4 linked regions of the Arabidopsis thaliana genome follow. The protein of the gene in region 3 interacts with the protein of the main gene of each other region in a pairwise test. Each region holds a gene or a part of one and is shown on either strand. Other genes may lie near its edges.

The links.
Region 1: the proteins of BZO2H3 (region 3) and MYB56 interact in a two-hybrid assay, tested with the Arabidopsis thaliana proteins (one large-scale study listed by BioGRID).
Region 2: the proteins of BZO2H3 (region 3) and bZIP4 interact in a two-hybrid assay, tested with the Arabidopsis thaliana proteins (one large-scale study listed by BioGRID).
Region 4: the proteins of BZO2H3 (region 3) and bZIP5 interact in a two-hybrid assay, tested with the Arabidopsis thaliana proteins (one large-scale study listed by BioGRID).

What each region holds. Positions count from the first base shown.
Region 1 is NC_003076.8:5,874,811-5,880,299, reverse strand, and holds MYB56 (myb domain protein 56), read right to left. Parts: upstream 3,188-5,489; 5' UTR 3,054-3,187; coding exon 2,672-3,053; intron 2,389-2,671; coding exon 1,963-2,388; intron 1,393-1,962; coding exon 1,229-1,392; 3' UTR 969-1,228; downstream 1-968. UniProt on the Arabidopsis thaliana protein: Acts as a cell-specific local repressor of quiescent center (QC) self-renewal by cell divisions in the primary root. Counteracts brassinosteroid (BR)-mediated cell division in the QC cells.
Region 2 is NC_003070.9:21,865,563-21,869,467, reverse strand, and holds bZIP4 (basic leucine-zipper 4), read right to left. Parts: upstream 1,279-3,905; 5' UTR 1,207-1,278; coding exon 760-1,206; downstream 1-759. Other genes in the region: CW7, read right to left, coding at 3,528-3,805. UniProt on the Arabidopsis thaliana protein: Probable transcription factor involved in somatic embryogenesis. Acts as a positive regulator of BHLH109.
Region 3 is NC_003076.8:10,795,347-10,800,454, reverse strand, and holds BZO2H3 (bZIP transcription factor family protein), read left to right. Parts: upstream 1-2,149; 5' UTR 2,150-2,307; coding exon 2,308-2,574; intron 2,575-2,813; coding exon 2,814-2,904; intron 2,905-3,007; coding exon 3,008-3,119; intron 3,120-3,183; coding exon 3,184-3,259; coding exon of another isoform or gene 3,260-3,341; coding exon 3,342-3,467; coding exon of another isoform or gene 3,468-3,534; coding exon 3,535-3,807; 3' UTR 3,808-3,998; downstream 3,999-5,108. UniProt on the Arabidopsis thaliana protein: Transcription factor involved in controlling responses to starvation. BZIP2-BZIP63-KIN10 complex binds to the ETFQO promoter to up-regulate its transcription.
Region 4 is NC_003074.8:18,454,282-18,458,348, reverse strand, and holds bZIP5 (basic leucine-zipper 5), read left to right. Parts: upstream 1-2,223; 5' UTR 2,224-2,309; coding exon 2,310-2,780; 3' UTR 2,781-3,118; downstream 3,119-4,067.

The sequences.
Region 1 (5,489 bases), 4.9 Mb from region 3:
GATATATTTAAAGATAATCCAAAAAATTAAACTGGTATGTACAAAAATCTTGATTTTTCGATGTAAATAGATCATCTTAGTACATAGCTGATCTAATCTATTTATCCAATGGATGAAAGGTATTAAGGTACTTTATACCATTCTCGATCGAGGATTATTATTTCTGTTTATCCTAGAGGATAACATTTAACATATCTTATCAAGTGAACATTTTTAATTTCTTAACTAACCAAGTGAACAATTAAACGAACAAAAAGAACTAAATGAATGACGGAATGAGAGAGCCAAAAGTAAAGTGTGTAAGTAATATGATTATGATTTTTTTTTTAAACAGAAAAATCAAATATAATGATTTAAATGCGAATCATAATCATATCACTAACAAAGTGCGTATATTTCTATATATGAATAGCAATTTGTAAAGTACACTAGTACAAATACAGTACTCGACACAGATCGCTAGTTACCATTTTTTCTTCTTGGGGATGTCAATTTTGTGAACTTGATATAATAATGAAAGAAGGGTAGGGTTTTTTTTTTTTTTTTTTTTGAACAGAGAAAGAAGGGTAGGGTTAAGTTCAAAATTACGACAAGAAACGAGTAAGCCCACTTCTATGTGAGCTTTTTGGACCCTTTGTAAATGAAAGGTACGTCTATATATGGGTTTCTTTTGTAGTCCTAGGCCCAACTTAACAATGTAGCTGGTATCCGATAATAGGGATCCGAGCCGAGCCGAGTAATTGAGATTTTAAATTTAAACAAGAACTCATTTCCCACGTTGATTATTTACTTAGAAATTCCTGAATTATTTATATATGTGACATTCCAAAAATAGCAGATAACATCCTTCATGTAATGCACTATAAAATGCAATAGGTTTATGATCAAAGCTTGTAATTTACCAACAAAAATAACTCGCTGGTTTTAGTTACTGCTATTGTTTCATAATCTATGTTAAATTTGCGTGTGTGAGTAAGGAAAATTGCAATATTTTATGAACACTTATTCTAATTCTACAGAAAAGAGGTTGATTATATATTCAACTTTTTATTTTACTTCTAGGTTTTGTTTTTGTTTTCAGTTTTCCCTCATACCGCTTACTTCTTCCAAAACCCAAATTAAGATGTTAAACAAACATGCCTAATTAACCAGGAAAAATAGAAGAAACTAAAGCCATTTCTTATCTCACAATTCCTCAGCATTGAACCCTAGCTCTGCAACTAATTAATCAGGAAGCTCCAACTCCAAGAAAATCAAAGTAGTAATAGCCACTCCTCATCTTCATCTCCACCTTTCTTTCACTGACTGAGATTGTGTGGTGATTTTGATGGTCCATCTTTTTACCATATATGCCATTTACTTCTGCTCTCTGCACACACTGACCATCTTTGCCTGCAAAATTAGAAAAATAAGTTCTCAGCACCCACGTGAAATTTTGTTATATTGAAATAGTAACGTGACAATAGTACTTCACCTCCTTATATTATTATGCCTATAGGTACTCTTACGATGTAAAAACAGTTTCTTTCTTTTCTAGTCATTCAAATTTATAATTATTGCCATGTATATGAAAAAGTGTAGGAAGTGGTCACTCGTCGTCGGTTATACAACATGTCGGCCTAAATTATCATTTTATATGCTTTGAACATTCAAAAATTAACAAGACTGGAATCTAATAAGCTAAATTTAGACCACAAATGATATTTGGAAGTACCGGTTAAAGTATAAACCGATCATGATCAACGATACACCCAATAAAGATTGCAATACGATCTCGACCAACCGACCGAGATCATTATAGTTAGATTCACGAAAACACTTCTCAAGAAAGCCGAAAACGAAAAAAAACATTCCAAGTTTCTATACTTTTAATGTCTTGGGTCATGAAAATAATATATTTTCAATAGAGAAAAAAAAAAAACATAGTAAACATAATATTTAAGCAAATAAATAAAATGTTACCTGATGCAAGGGTACTATCGTAATTAAAGAAGCGAGGCTGGTAAGCTGAAGAAGGCGGAGTGAGAGAGAGCTCCGTCGTACAAGTAGAGACAGCTGACACATCGTCGTCGTCATCTTCTTCATTGATGAACTTACCTTGATTGTAGCGGCAAGAGGACGAAACCGTCATTTCAGCGTCTCTTGACAACGTCGGAGGAGGCTGTTGACGTTGTCTTTGGCTTTCTCTAGTCCGTCGAGCCATGATGACGTGCCAATGGTTCTTGACAGCGTTATCGGTACGACCTGGAAAGAGACGAGAGATCAAAGCCCACTTGTTGCCATAGGCTCGATGAGCTGCTAACAGCCTAAACTCTTCTTCCTCCGTGAAGGCTCTCTTGTTAATCCTTGGGTCTAGTTGGTTAAACCATCTCAATCTACAACTCTTGCCTGTAGTCAAAGAAGTGTCCCTCACATTATAAAAATTAGTTACTATCAAGCATTATGTCATTATGCCTTATACAACTTAGTCTAACTTGTAAAAACTATTTTTAAAAAAATCCAAACACAATTACGAAAATGCCTAATAACTTTGGAAACTCAACTCACCAAAGTTTTTAAATATATTTACTTATTTTTCTTCTACATAAAAATAGTTAAATTTGCGGAATTTGGAGTAACAAAAGTGAAGGAAATAATTAAGTAATAAGAATTTTAAGTAAAATAAATGTACCTGATCTACCAAGAAGGTGGTTAGAAATCAAGTTCCAGTTTTGGGGACCAAACTGGGCAACAAGCTCCTTGAGTTTAGCATCTTCTGTTGGTCTCCAGTGTCCTCGTGAGCATACTTTTGTGTTAATTCCACTTTTGCCCCTCATTCTTAAACTCTTTTCGTTTTCACCTCTCTCGTTCCCATGTTCATCTTCCGACTCCAAGACTGAGGCTGATTTGTTGTGAGGATGGTTTCTAGAGATAGAGGGGTTGTTGAGTGAAGTTTTACAAGCAGCAGTGTGTGAGTTTGGTAGAGATCTGAAGTTGTTTGCTTCTTTGTATCTTATTGACCCATTTGTAGTTTCCTTACCTCTTAGATCTTTCTCAAGGAGATTTGGATTCATGTTTCTGGGTTTAGGGATTAAGGGAAGAGAAACTAAAAATAGAAGAGAGATAGAGGGAGAGAGCACTTGAATGGCTTTTCACTGTTTATATGGTGGAAGAGGAAAGAGAGATTCTCTAAAAAAAATTATTGAAATTTATATTTTTATTTACATTTATTTGCAAGCTAGTTAATATATATAGAAGAATATTTTAGAAAATGATGATGAGTGCAGAGTGGTTATTTAATGTACATGAAAAACAAAATTGATAGCTGTTTATTCACACACCAAAAGAAATTGAAGGGAAAGTTTTGTAAAAGCATATTCAAATGAATTACAAGTGTTAATTACCAAATTGTGGCCTAATAATCCCATGCTAATGGTTTTATACAATTACGTGCGGTTTCATTTTATTTATCATTTTTTTTTTTTTTTCAGCAACCACATTTTAACTATATTTATAGTCGATGCCTCGATGGTGGTCGTACAAAATCGAAATTCGATCATTAAAATTCCAAGATAGATCTATAACAATTTTTCATCACTATCTTCATAAGAGCTGCTTGTTATTGTACTAATATTGTGTTAATTAAATAGTTAAAATGAAACCGCACGAAAACATTAAATATTCAAGGTTCACGTTTTCCTTCACGTACGTTGCGATTTAGTTTTTACTCTTACACGAAAAATTTCGAATAATGAGATACTTTCAGTACAAAGCTCTCTCTCTCTACACGTGCAAAAGTAAGGGATTTGGAAAAGTCGGTGGGTACGTGTAGTGTAGATGCATGCAAAACGAGACCCGCTCGTGCGTGTGGGAGGGTTCGATGACCATAGGCCCCACAGTCTCAACAGTCTCGGAAACTCCAAAAAACATTTTTGAACCGCTCGTGTGGCTATAGTATATACTATGCACACATACAGATATTGCACGTACGTTAAGTGTGTGTGTGTGAGTTAATTATGGGAAAAAACAACAGAATCAATTTTTGTCTGTTTCGGACACAAAGCAAGAAAAGATCTTAAAGGGAGAGAAATAAATTGCTTTTATGAGCTTTCTGTTCTCTCCATAACGTATAAGTGTGTATATATATATTCGCATCTTTCAAAGAACTCGTTTTGTGTAGTTAAATTATAAAGTAATATGATGATTAGCTCAACAACTAGTTCAAGTACTTCAATATCTTTTGAACGATGGGTTCGACGTCGTTTGGGGTGTATACATTTTTACTTATATACTATATTCAGTGAAATTCAAGCATTGTTTTTGTTTATTACTTAAATAGTTAATTGAACTCAAACAATGTTGTGCGTACATTTAATGGAAAACAGACGTGGCAAACAGAAAACATATGCACATCCTATATTTTTTGCTACTAGTTTAAATTTAAATTTTGCTGTAATTTTTGTTTCAGGATGAAATATATAATCTTTGTTGAAGTTTTTTAAAAAAAACTATCATCAAATTGGTTATTTTAAAGTAAGTTTTAGGTACGAAGGGAACATAGTTTTTTTAATTTTTAGGAAAACTAAAAGTACAAAAAAGAGAAGAAAATGTGAATGGTGACAAACAAAAGTTCAATTCATTTCTTATAAACCAAAAATAATAATTGAACAACCAACTCTATTGAAGACCATTATTATTCAATGATATGGACTATTTATGCTCCCATTGAACCTATAAGTTGTAGACTTTAGTTTTTTGTATCTTTTTGATATAAGAATTGAGTGGTCATTCGTTTGAATGTAATAATTATCTTTCATGCGTAACAACTTACTATAGTCTTGATATGACTAAACAAAGCTACATATTTTAGTAATTGTACTAAACTCGATCGAGTATGCAACCACATAATTTTGATGGATTAAAATACTAGAGATTAAAGAGAGAAATCATGTAACTGAACTCGAACTAGAATTAAATTCAACAATAATAAATGAAGAATAAAACAAATATAACACGAATAGACGTTAGAAACCAAAGAAACGACAGAAAAGTACCTAAAGTTTTTTATTTATTGTGTCTTGTTTTTATGTGAGTTTCGGTTATGGGAACGGTTTCGTTAATTTTGAAATCTTCTGTTGACGACAAAAAAAAAGTCTTGTACCGACGTGGAATGACGACATCATTGGCTGTTACACACGAGCGGATCGTGTTCTTACCTAACACGTGTACCGTCCTCACGAATTTCAGTTTCCGGTTCATAGAAAAGTTCCCCGAACCGTTATGGACCAATTCCACTTTTCTTTTGTTTTTTTATTAAGATACTTTGAATGATTATTATTTAATAACATTTTTGCAAATCATATTCTCGACTATGGAAGAATTATTTTTTTCCAACGACCATGAAAGTGGTCTGTAATTTGAAAGATTGTTGTATAATTTTGGGGTAAGAAGAGATAATATTAAAGACATACCGATAAACAAACATATATGAAAGATGTGGAGTATATGTA
Region 2 (3,905 bases), on a different chromosome or scaffold from region 3:
CTTAATTAGCCACACAAAGAAATTAAACCCCACGTTTTCCTTTGTGTGATTTGGTCCAAGATTTTTCTTCAAACCCAACATATAGTGCACACTATCAAAAGGTTGTTGTGATTTTGGGATGGGACATTTTCTTCATTAAAAAGGTAATAAATAATCATACTGTTAAACTCAATCAATTATTAATTTTAGAAGATAATTACGTCTTAAAATTCTACATTATCTGTGTATATATATAGGCTTACTTAAAGACGATACTGTTAAAGGTCTTAAAAATTCAAAAGTTAATTGTACAACAACATTTTCATGGAGCTAGCAAGTTTAGAGTTTCGTCCTAATAGTTTATGTTTATAGGTAAAAACAAAAGTGTTAACTTAGGGAAATTTCTAGTGTTATACTGTTATGTTTGGCTACTTCGTTACGTTCACCAAACTTTTAGTATTCTGCTTAGGCTTATTGAACTTGATGTTTGTCTTTCGGCTTTTGGAGGAAAAATAAAATTTTGAAAATTTTGATTCATTTTGACTGTGAACCGGTCTTGTTTCGGCACGTCTTGTTTAGGTCTTGACAACATATTTATGATTGTGTTTATGTGGAGGGAATCAAGTTTCACAAATATTATCCATACAGTTTACATATATACACATATGCATAACTTTGAAGTTTGAACCAAAATGTGAAATTCATAGTATAAAACGTTTGACCTTTACAAAAATGCTCAAAGTTACTTGGCATCGTTTTTCTGTTTATTTTGTTTCAAACTTAAATCTCGAGCGTTGTGATGTAATTTACACTCGTTGAGATTGGCGATTGCATGGCCACTAAAAAACGGTACAACTCTAAAAGCCTTATCTCAAGGCAAACCGATTCGGTTTTCAACCGGTTATTCTCCCTAGATATAAAATTACCACAACTAACAACATTAGCTAACCGGTTTTTCAGCTCCTGATTTCTTATGTTTAACCGGTTCACCTCTTCAGTTAACTCTTCAAAACGTTTCTTCTTTTTCATCCTCGATCTCTTGGCCGATTCCCGGTTTGATATCGTCCGTCTTCTCTTCTTATCATCCACCGGTACTACCTCGTTTATACCGCTTGGATTGTCCGACTCGTCTGATTGAAGAAACGCCAATATATCAATGATTTCATCACCGGTTATCGTAGCATCATTGAAGCAGTTATGAACCGTCTCCATATTAGTATAAAACATTGATGTAAGTGGCAAAAGATATTGGTATAATTTGTGTTAAAGCTAGAGAATGAAAGCTAGAGAGGAAGGGGAGGATTCAAAATGAACCAAGAGTGGCTATTTATAGAGAGGAATGAGGAATAACATGTGGGACTCACATTGGGGTTATATTGTCCACTAAAAAAGTGCTAAGTATTAATGTCATAATCAGAGTCAATCTAAGAGATTAATTGGAATGTTTGTCGATTAGTGCTCTAGATAACATTATTACTGTATTATTTTAACTTTTGTTTTTTTATCCTTTTATACCTTTTGTTTGGATACTGCTTTTTAACTTTTATCACTTTCGTAGCACTACTTTTTAACTACAGAGATAGTGTATTAATTTCACATTGTCATTGTAAGATTATTGTTTTTTTTGTTTTTTTTTGTTTTTTTGATTAATATAAAGGACTGGGTGTTTAAGGTTGTCACCATTTAAACTATATAATTGGTAAAATACTAGAGGGTCAATAATATCTGAAAAACTTGTAAAATATAACTATATTGTAAAAAAAATAAAATGAATAGGATTTATAGCCTATTGGTTTCTGTTAGTATTGTCGTTGTGTTACTATCAATCTATCATGACCGATCCTTCCTTGGCACAAGCACATAAAATTTTGATTTGGGGCCTCAAAATATATATTAGTTATTAGACCAATTTTGTGTAAGATTTCTTGGTATAGATACTCAGTAGGTTCAGAGTTCAAACCAATAAAATGCATCATTTTCATATACTTTTTTTTCAATGTGATAAAAAGAGGGCACGCACTTTATCCTTCTACTGCTAGAAACGATTCCAGATTCAAGCTCGCATATTAAGTACATGTAATTGACAAAAAAAATATCAGATAAAACTCTATACATAAAAGATTTTTTTTAAGTTTCTACACAACTTATTAAGTTAAGACTTAGGGGAGAAAATGGTGTGTAGGTCTTGACACAAGAGGAAGAAGATGAGAGCTTAGCTTAATGGCGAAGAATCTAACAAAAAGCATATTACGTCTTAGTTTATTTATTATGTGTTTGGATTTTCTTATCTTTTTAGTAAGATAAAGTAAACAATACAAGTGAAACTACAGCTGCATTCTCTTTATAGTATCATTATAATTTTGAATCATTTTTTTTTTAATTAAGTAGGGTAAATATATTCGTACGTATTTTCGTAAATCTTTACATGTTTTGAAAGAAAATTTATCCGTTAAAATTTATAATACTGTGACATATTGAAATATTTCTCCATTGGGGTATAAAACCAATCTTGCCTATTTTACTTTATTTTTTTGTTAAATTAAAAATTTAGATAATGGGTCATTTTTTTTTTGCCTACAATTATTTCCAGGGCAAAAGATGTTAAAGAACATACTATTCTTATATTTTGACCTTTGTAATCACGTTTCAAGAAAATCCAAAGTCCACTGTTTGTGACTTTTTGTGGCTTTTTGTAAGTGGACTAAAACATGCATTCACATTTTCACAACTTCTATAACCGACTCTCTATATATTAACATAATTCCTTTTTGTTATTAAAATAGAAGCATTAGTTTAACCTCAGATACAGAGTTTTGTCATCTAATTAGGAAATGTCTAACAACCGATCTATATTTTAACACAATTCCTTTTCTTAGAAAGCTATACACCTTAGTTTAACCTAAAACAGAGTTTTGTCATCTAATAAGAAATGTCTACCACCAAGAGTTGGATTCATGTGCTTCCTCCTTATTTGTCTACCCTAATTTCTTTTTATTCTTTAGCATTCCACATTCTCAAGTAAAGTCCAACAAAAGATGGCAAAAAGCTGTTTTATTTCACATGTTTAAATACCATATCTTCTATACTTTCTATGCAAGACATCTGTATCTCATAGGGATCGACCTAAAAACCGAACCAAACTGAATCAAAGATTTATCGATCCGAACCGAACTTAAGTTTTATATAAATAACCGGACCTTGATTAACTAACCGAAATTCATTCTGTTTGTCAAAGTATAGGCTGAGCGAGTCCACATTATACTAAACAAGAAGAGTAGCCAAAACATATAGACTTGATGATTGCAAATTCACAACTTTACTTTCATTTATTCCTTGAGGTAATAACAGTGGTTGTGGTAAACCACATAGTCGAGTAACATCACAAAAGGAATATTCAATCAAAGTACAAAAAAAAAAAACATTTAGACAAAACACACAAACTTCTGTTTCCTACGCTTCATTCCAGAGTGTGCTACTCCATGTTGACTGGTGGAGTTGCCTAAATAAAGACGATTAGTGGAATCGATCAGCAATATCGAAAAGATCTATTAGTGTCTATTGTTGACGACCGGTGTGGCTAAAGAGAAATCATTTGTTACCTTGAATAAAAGATCATGAGCAATAGTGTCCCATGGTAATGAAATGGACATTAAGCAGCATTTAAGAGGGAACATCTCGTCTTCATCATAAGAGGCAGTAGCAGCTGCTATTGCATGTTTAGCTGCGACAGATGCAACAGAGGCTGCTTTACGGAAAATGGATCCGAGATCGATGCTCTTCTTTGAAGACATAGGTGAAACAGGCCCTAAAACTACTTGGCTCTGATCTGAGAAAAGCAATTCTATACAATCATCCTTTAAACCATACTACGTCTTCAATATACATTTCAACAAGTCTCCTACTCTTAAATTTTGGCGATTGTACTT
Region 3 (5,108 bases):
TTGGCAATGTTCTATTTTCCAAATCTTTCAGCATTATACGGAAAAAGAAAAACAAACCAACGAATAAATAACCCATACACGACACGAAAAAAATCCACAAAAAAATGTAGAAATAGTTTCTTGAACAGATAAACCTACTCTTTTGAAAGTAAGACAACAAAAAAAAAAATCTGATAATCAGGGGTGTTCCAGTTTTACCATCGACAAACTTTTTCAAAGTAAATGTATCCACTGTCTGTCCTAATCTAAAGCTGAACAATTAAGGGTTTTAAGCCTCAAAATATATATTTCATTTTGAAAGCACCAAAACTATAAATTTCTTGTAGGACAGTGATTTTTCCGGGTTTTTTTGTTTCTCATGTTATAGGTTTAAGTCTCCAATGCATCATTTTGCTATATTTTAAATATTTATAGGCAAAAAATATTTTGGGTTTTAGGACCAACTCTGAGTGTAGCCGTTGAATAGTCCATTCATCGGATTTTTAATAAACCTTAAACATGACACCAGGTCAAAATAAGAATGATTTAGAAATTGATTCATAACCTAACCTACATAATAATTCTTCCTAAAATAAGACAAAATGTCACACGAAATTATACAGTTTGAGATTTTTCTAAACCACTTTAACATAGAAAAGTCTACAAAATTCTACTAATGGTGTAATAGAGACGTACTTTGATAAAACGTAAATCATTCTTTCAAATAGAGTTGAACTACTGATATTCTCAAAGTCAAACCACCAACATCCACTTGGTTTGCAAGTGTTATGTTTCTCTCTCACTAGATATTCTCTTGATAAAAGGTTTTGCACAAGTGTACTAATATATGCAAAAATAAAGGACCCACCAAAATATGCAACTTGAATTTGGATAGATTCTTATCCAAAAATCAGAAGTTTAGTACATTTCTCTAATCTAACTTCACTTACAAAACTATATATTATGTTCCTCTCGGATCTCTCCTTTCCTTTGTAAAATGCAAATGGGAATATTAAATGGACCCATGAAATGAAGTTACGTTACAAAACCGACGACAACTATAATATTTATTATTTATATATTCTTGTGATGCAGATCAAAATTTAAATTGACTAAAATACCCCTTGCCACGTCAGTCTGACTTGGATTTGCCCCAAAAAGCGTTGAAAAAAATATTATTAAATCCAATAAGGCATAAACAAATATTATTACATGTATATTTTAAATATTACTTTAAGCTCCTCATATTCTTCTGTTTTTATCAATTATACACCAACATTTGTTGTTTATAAATATGAACCCCTAATCGTCCCCTTTCAAACGTGGAATATAAGATCGATATATATTACACATTTGAGTAAACAATTAGGCAATGAAGTTTGTGAAGGAGACTGCATTTCTGATAATCTTAATAATTTTTGTTTTCTTAATAATATTATTTATTTTTTTTATAAAATGGTCTGAAAAATTACAATCATTACATCGTTTCTAACGGTTTTTTCTTTCTTAAAGAATCGTTTTTAAATTTAAAATTTTCGATTATTTTTGATTTTTACCGCTAATCTTGGAATTTATCTTGAGTGCTCAAGAGTGAGTAAAATCCCTTACCTCGAAAAATCCCTTTATGGTAGAGGACGTTGGTGATAGTAACAATTTTTTCTCGTAGCTCGGTCATTGTGTCGGCCATTGTGAGATCGAAGAAAGATATTGAGATAAGGTGGGTTAAGCAGTAGATTCTCCGTTTTCCATTGTCCACTAGGATACAATTTTCTTTTTTGACTCTGATCAGTTTTTTCTATTTTAATTTGTGTATCTTAATATTATTATTCGTTGTAACTGTAGGCGAATCTCACCTTTTTTAAAAACATGTTTTAAGAAAGAAAAAAAAAAGTTTGACACTTTAATTATTTTTTCCATTCTATATATCTTATAAACTAAAAATTGTTCTAAAAAGTAGAAAAATTAGTATAACTAAAACCATATTTCCAGATACTTTTTTCCTTTTATTTATTATTAGTTCTGTTGTTAATAAAAATCGTTATAATTTTTTGTATTATGACCTGTCGTTTTTTAAGATACTACAAGAAAACAGTGACCTAACAGAATAAATCAAAAGTTTTTGCTGTAAATAGAAATACACGACTCTTGTCGGGGCCATTAGGGTAATAATCAGACAATTAAATATCTAACAAAACAACAAAACTTGAAAAGAACATATTATTAAAATGCAAGACTGCCCAATCGGATAAGAAGAAACTGTTTTGACAATTTGAAACCAAAAAAAAATAAATAAAACTAAAGAAACAAACAAATTACAAAAGAGAAAAGATGGAAAAAGTTTTCTCCGACGAAGAAATCTCCGGTAACCATCACTGGTCGGTTAATGGAATGACGTCGTTGAATCGCAGTGCTTCCGAATGGGCATTCAATCGTTTCATACAAGAATCCTCCGCCGCTGCAGACGACGGAGAATCTACGACGGCGTGTGGTGTTTCCGTCTCCTCTCCTCCTAATGTTCCTGTAGATTCAGAGGAATACAGAGCATTTCTCAAGAGTAAACTTAATCTTGCTTGTGCTGCTGTCGCCATGAAAAGGGTACTCACTACTCTGCTCAAGTTTGAGTTTTTTTTTTTTTCATAGAAAAAGAAAAACAAAACCTTTTTATCTGTTAGTTTGATGAGTTCACTTGAAGCTAAGAAACTAATCTTGTTTTGTTATGTTTGAGTGTTAAGATCTTATTGGACCTTTTGTATATGATTTGCCATTATCTTCCTTGAGATTATAATTTGCATTAGTTAATTGATTTTGTGGTGTTAATATTGAAAATTTGATAGGGAACTTTCATCAAACCTCAGGATACTTCTGGTAGATCTGACAATGGTGGAGCCAATGAATCAGAACAAGCCTCTCTTGCTTCTTCCAAAGGTTTTACAATACATCTATGATAAGCCTTTTAAGATGTTATTGATAGTTGTTGTGTTTGTTTTCAAGATTTCTTGTAAATGCTAATGGACCAATCTGTATGCAGCTACACCAATGATGAGCAGTGCTATAACAAGTGGATCTGAGCTCTCTGGTGATGAAGAAGAAGCTGATGGTGAAACTAATATGAACCCTACTAATGTTAAACGCGTTAAAAGGTAACAAATTTACATCCTTTCTTGGACTTGAACATGAACATGAACGTGAATTTGTTTGTTATAGGATGCTCTCTAATAGAGAATCAGCTAGACGGTCCAGAAGAAGAAAGCAAGCACACTTGAGTGAGCTAGAGACACAAGTATGTTACTCTCGCAGCGTTCTTATTCTTTCTCCTTTAACTTTGTTTAGCTCACTTGTGCGACAATCTCCATTTCGTGTAGGTTTCACAGCTTCGTGTAGAGAATTCAAAACTCATGAAGGGTCTCACTGATGTAACTCAAACATTCAATGATGCATCTGTAGAAAACAGAGTTTTAAAAGCCAATATTGAGACACTACGAGCAAAGGTAAAATACTTTCTTTTATCTCTCTGTCTACCAAAACTCGCTATTGAAGCATGTTTGTTTTTGGCAGGTGAAAATGGCTGAAGAGACAGTGAAGAGACTCACTGGCTTTAACCCAATGTTCCACAATATGCCTCAGATTGTTTCAACTGTCTCTCTTCCTTCAGAGACATCAAATTCTCCAGACACTACAAGCAGCCAAGTGACTACACCAGAGATCATTAGCTCGGGGAACAAAGGCAAGGCCTTGATAGGGTGCAAGATGAACAGAACAGCTTCGATGCGTAGAGTTGAGAGCTTGGAACATCTGCAGAAACGTATTCGAAGCGTTGGGGATCAGTAGCTGTTAAAGAAGAATCTTGATTTGTAACATTAATCTTAAGACATATGTTAAGACAAAATGTTGTATGTTTTTGTAAAGAATTGTTTTTTCAGATTATTTAAATTTTTTTTTGTCTTCTTCGTTGATTGTTTGTGTTGAACTTCTAATTTTCATTGTACATGTCTTTTGTTAAATTTACAAAGTTTTTCTAATTTCTGTTAAGAATTACAAGTTTTATCAATTTCACCTAGTGAAACTATTGAAATGGTGATGAGGCAACGATGCAAACGTATAATTTTGGTTATTGAAACTAGAAATTACGAGTTTAATCCCAAATTTCGGCTCTTAGAATCGGGTTTCTATCAATAATTTTTGTTTAAATCCGAATTAGATTATAAATATATATATAAATAAAATAACTATAATTAAACCTTATTAATTTATATTTTTTTTCAAAGTAACCTTTAAATTATGATTTAAGATATTCAATTATGTTCGTTTTTTCGTATCGATTATTTTGATTTGGTTCAGATCGGATAAAACATCTCTAATAAGAATTAATATGCTCTTTTGTAGAATTAATATTCATGAAATATTTAGAAATTTTGTATATTATATAAAATTTAGGAGTACTTTTGACGTATTTTTTTTTGTCGACAATTTCTTTGATTACTAACCCAAAAGGGCAAATTATAAGAGAAGTATAGGTGAAATTTGTGGATCCAAAACCCCATGATATAAGTCCAAACTAAACCCATACAATAATACATCAAATTAAGACTAGGTTTAAAATGAGACACGTGTTAGCCACGTCCCACGTGTTATTGCACAAAGGAGTGGTGGAAAACAACCGACTTGCCACCAAAAATGGAAAAATCCGGTCAGATTCAAAAGAATTTCAGTGAGGAAAATCACCATTTTCAGCACTTGATTCCAACAGATTTCAGCTTCTTACTCCGTATTTCACCAGATCCATTTGCAGCGTTTTTGAAAAGGTAGAAAACCGATGTCCTTGAATCTTCAAATCTATTAAACTCTGGAATCCGCGAGAAGATGAGATGTCAAATTAGTCGCTATACGTCGCTTTGCTAATTTGGTCTCAACCAGACACGAAATCCAACTTTCACGATTCACAAGCTCAAAGAGAAACCAACATCCAAAGCCGATTAGATGTCCACTAAACGGTATGAGGATTTACTCTCCTCAGAAACGAGATCAAGCAGATGAATATTCAGAATCTTGGAATTACCCCTCAGATTTTGCCTCTAACGACATCTGCAAAAGGAAAGGAGAAGAAAAAACTAAAAAGAAATAGCCACAAA
Region 4 (4,067 bases), on a different chromosome or scaffold from region 3:
CATTTCTTCCGACAAAGTGGGTCCATGGTTATTTTGTAAAAAAAAACTTTTTCTCTGCTAGTTTCTTAATTTGTATGTTTATTTGGTTATCTACTAATATTACCCTTATTTTAACACCATATCCAATACCGGGAGTGCCGGCTTCGTTAGTACATGCTTTATATTAAGAATTGTTTTATAGTATACCATAAAATTTATAACAATATATATATATTTAAAAAAAAATTGAGAAGTTAGTTGTAAACATTAATTTATACGGATTCGATTTAAAAATTCTTAAAGAAAACAAATTTTGCAACAAAAATCGAGTAAATTGCAAACAAAATCTACTATACAGGATTTACTGTAGTAAATATACTACAAACATATAGTAAATTTACAACTTATCTTTTTCTTTCAGCAAAATATATAGTAAATTTGTTTTCTTTTTGATTTTTGATATAAATTACAACAAAATTTACAAATTTTGGTCTATTTGTGTTTTTTTGTTTAGATGTATTATTGTAGTAGTAAAATAGAGAAGACATCATTTCTACAGGTTACAACTATAGTTTTTACTGACTAATTCGTTAAAAACACGAAACTAATACCTACATTTTTTTATTTCAGAAAAAATTATTATTGTTTTTTTCGTTTTCGTATGAGTATGTTGTGACTATTGGTCAGTTTTTTTAAGGAAAGTTGTTATTACTATTGGTTACAAATAACTTTAAATTAGTTTTTATTTGTTGAACAAAGTTAAAGTGGTCGTGCACATGAACATGATCTCCAACAAACTTGAAAACATTATAAAGCTGAAAGAATTTGATTATTAAGCCATGCTTTTTCTTGTTTTGTTGTATTCCTTAGGAACGGCTTCTTTAAAACAGCTTTGCTGTTAAGAAAACTGCCATGCGAATATTCCCTCCCCTCCCTCTAGTCTTTTTGGTTTGGTATAACTAATAATTAGCAAATAGTAATTATGAATCAAATTAGTTCCTCAGTAGCACTTACGATTTTTCTTTTATTATTAATATATAGACACTCAACCGAATTTGAATTCGGATGATAAGACAACAATATCTCTATGGAAATAAAGAAAATCTTAGGACTGTCAATTTTCTAAATACATACGACAACTTTTCGAAAGACTGTATTTGAAAACAAGACGTAATAACATCGATTAAATCATATCCCAATATAAATTCAAGGTGTAACTTTCCTAATTAGATAGATCCAAGTTCCTTTACTTTTGCCGGTTTTGTAACAATTTTATATCTTATACCTAGCTAGAATATAGTAATCCATCAGATTAATTTCAAATACAAAAGTATGCCGACCAATAAAAATAAAATTAAAATTAAAATACAGTGGTATGCATGCATATCACTATATATAACAGCAAACTAAGTATATCTCTTCTTCTTTTTAATGCTATAGGATGCTTTTTCATCTTTTTGGTCCATAACTTTATCTTCTGTCTCAGAACGTAGATTTCACTAACTATATTTGCAGTTACATATACCATAAAAGAAAGGAATCTTAACCAAAAAAAACTAAGATTCCTTCTTCAACTTTTGTAACGAGGTTTAGACTTGCACATGTTGCAAAAATAAAGAACACGATCAAAAAACAAAATCCCAAAACATACAATAATATTACATAAAATTATCTAATTGGATTATTACGATCGAAACTATCAACTTTTAGCAAAGAAGAAAGAAAATGTTGAATACACAAGCTAAGTCTCTACTTCCTATTTGAAAGTCTAGCTAAACAGTAAAAACACACTAACAAAAATGATTTCCTTTAAACATCGAAGATCACGTTCAACAATCATACGTTCATAGAAGATCTAAAGACCAATATTAAATTTGAGTCTTCGTACTATCCAATGTTCTTTAAGTTAAAACGTAAAAACTGAAAAGTGTTCTTACGAGGAAACGAGGATTGGCTCTCCATACTTGAAATATTAAACTTAAACTTCTGAGTTACATCTAATCCTACACCGACACGTGTCCAACAATTTCCTCTCCTGATGCGACTCATTTCCTCATCTTTTGGTCTTTCTCTTTTCATTCTTAGAAAAAGAAAATTTGAAAAAAAGATAAAAAGAAAAAGAAAAGTAAATCTAAAAAGTTATTAGGAAAAACCCCCATCAATATTCTACTAATGTCTGACCAAAATAGCCTCATGTGTGTATTCTCTCGTCCATAAATATGGACCTCCAACAATGCAATTCTTCCCTTTTCCCCTTCTAATCTCTCTCGCATCTCTACATTTTGAGATCATTTTAAATTGTCCTCTCTTTTATTTTCCGGTTAAGCACCATGATGTCTACTATTTCCCCGGTTTTCTCAACCGAACCGGGTCTATTAACCTCTGTCCTCCCAGCTTTTGAAACCAGTTTCACTCCATGGGACATTTCACACCTCTTCTCGGTCTTCGATTCATTAATCGATCCAAAACCGGTTTCGACCCATGACTATGGTTCAGTAAACCAGATCGGTTCAGACATGTCTCCGACCGACAATACCGACGAGCGGAAAAAGAAACGGAAATTATCGAACCGGGAATCGGCTAAGCGGTCAAGAGAGAAGAAACAAAAGCACTTGGAGGAGATGAGTATCCAGCTAAACCAACTCAAAATTCAGAACCAAGAATTGAAGAACCAGCTTCGGTACGTTTTATACCATTGTCAACGAACGAAGATGGAAAATGATCGTCTACTTATGGAGCACCGTATACTGCATGATAAGTTGTTGAACATCAGACAAGTTTTGATGTTTCGTCAAACCTAACGAAGCTCATCAAACTGTGCCACTTGGCCTTGTAATAACAGTACTGTTGTTACGGTCCAGCAAGATCCGTCGATCATGTTATCATAAGTTGAGGTTTCTGAAATTGTTTCGACGGTAAAATGGGAACAATTTGTAAAAACAATTATTGAAAAATGCATGGATATACGTTATCAAATTAGATTTCGTTTTTTATATATTAATAAATAAATAATTAATTAATTATATTGACGTGTTTAAAATTGTTAACGAAGAAATGGGTTACTGGCAGAATTTGTCGATAACCTTTATCTACTTGTTTCTTTTCACTATTCTTTTCGTTTAGCTTTGTTGAATATACCTTTATATCATTATATATTCAAGAAATAAGCACAAACGAAATAGATGACTACGATATCATAATTAAGTTCTAACAATAAAGGTCTCTAGCTCGTAGAATTTAGATGATCGAGGGTGATCATTTCTATAGTCGTAACTTACGATAGAGAATTTTATCAGCATAAGTTGAGAGGAATATATTACAAGTTAAACGAAAAAAAGAAGAATGTTATCAGCATAATTAGCTATATTCCAAGCATAAATTCTAAAACGTCACACACGAAACAGTGATTTAATTTTTGTAAGATTCCTATCCTACAACTTTCTAGTGATCAAATGTAAATTATTCCCCTGAAAAATGATTAAATGACGCGTGCAACGACAAAATAGATGGGTCTTGGTATCCTAATATATAAATTCGTGGTCTAAAATATAGAATATGAGAATATGGCCTGATTAAATACTATTTTGAATAAGGAGGTCAAATTCAATTATTCGTAAAGAGGTCGACTAATTTCTCGGCAGTCTTAATCACCCTGAAAACATTATCTTTGTTTCGGTCTTTCTTAATAGGTTCAATGCTTTTAATTATAATTAAGCTTTTGTATCCTAATTAATGGGCTAATGGATATATTTCGATTCGAAGTATATATAGTTTTTGAACATGATAATTTATGTATTTTTTGGTCTAAGGTAAGCACTTAAAGGAAAATAAAGAGGCTTAGTAATTGTAAGATAACATGAATTTATTTCCACTAGATGTTAAGTTTTATATACATGGTACGAATCACGAACTTAGCTATATATAGGCAGGGACAAAGTTAGGTTGATGATAATGATGGTTTGATGACCAAATAGGTGCATTAATCATGTACTAACTACACTTAATTAAATCCTAATTAGCTAAGATATATAGTATTAAACTCTTAATACACACACAAGGGCACGTATATATGTGTACATATATGTTCA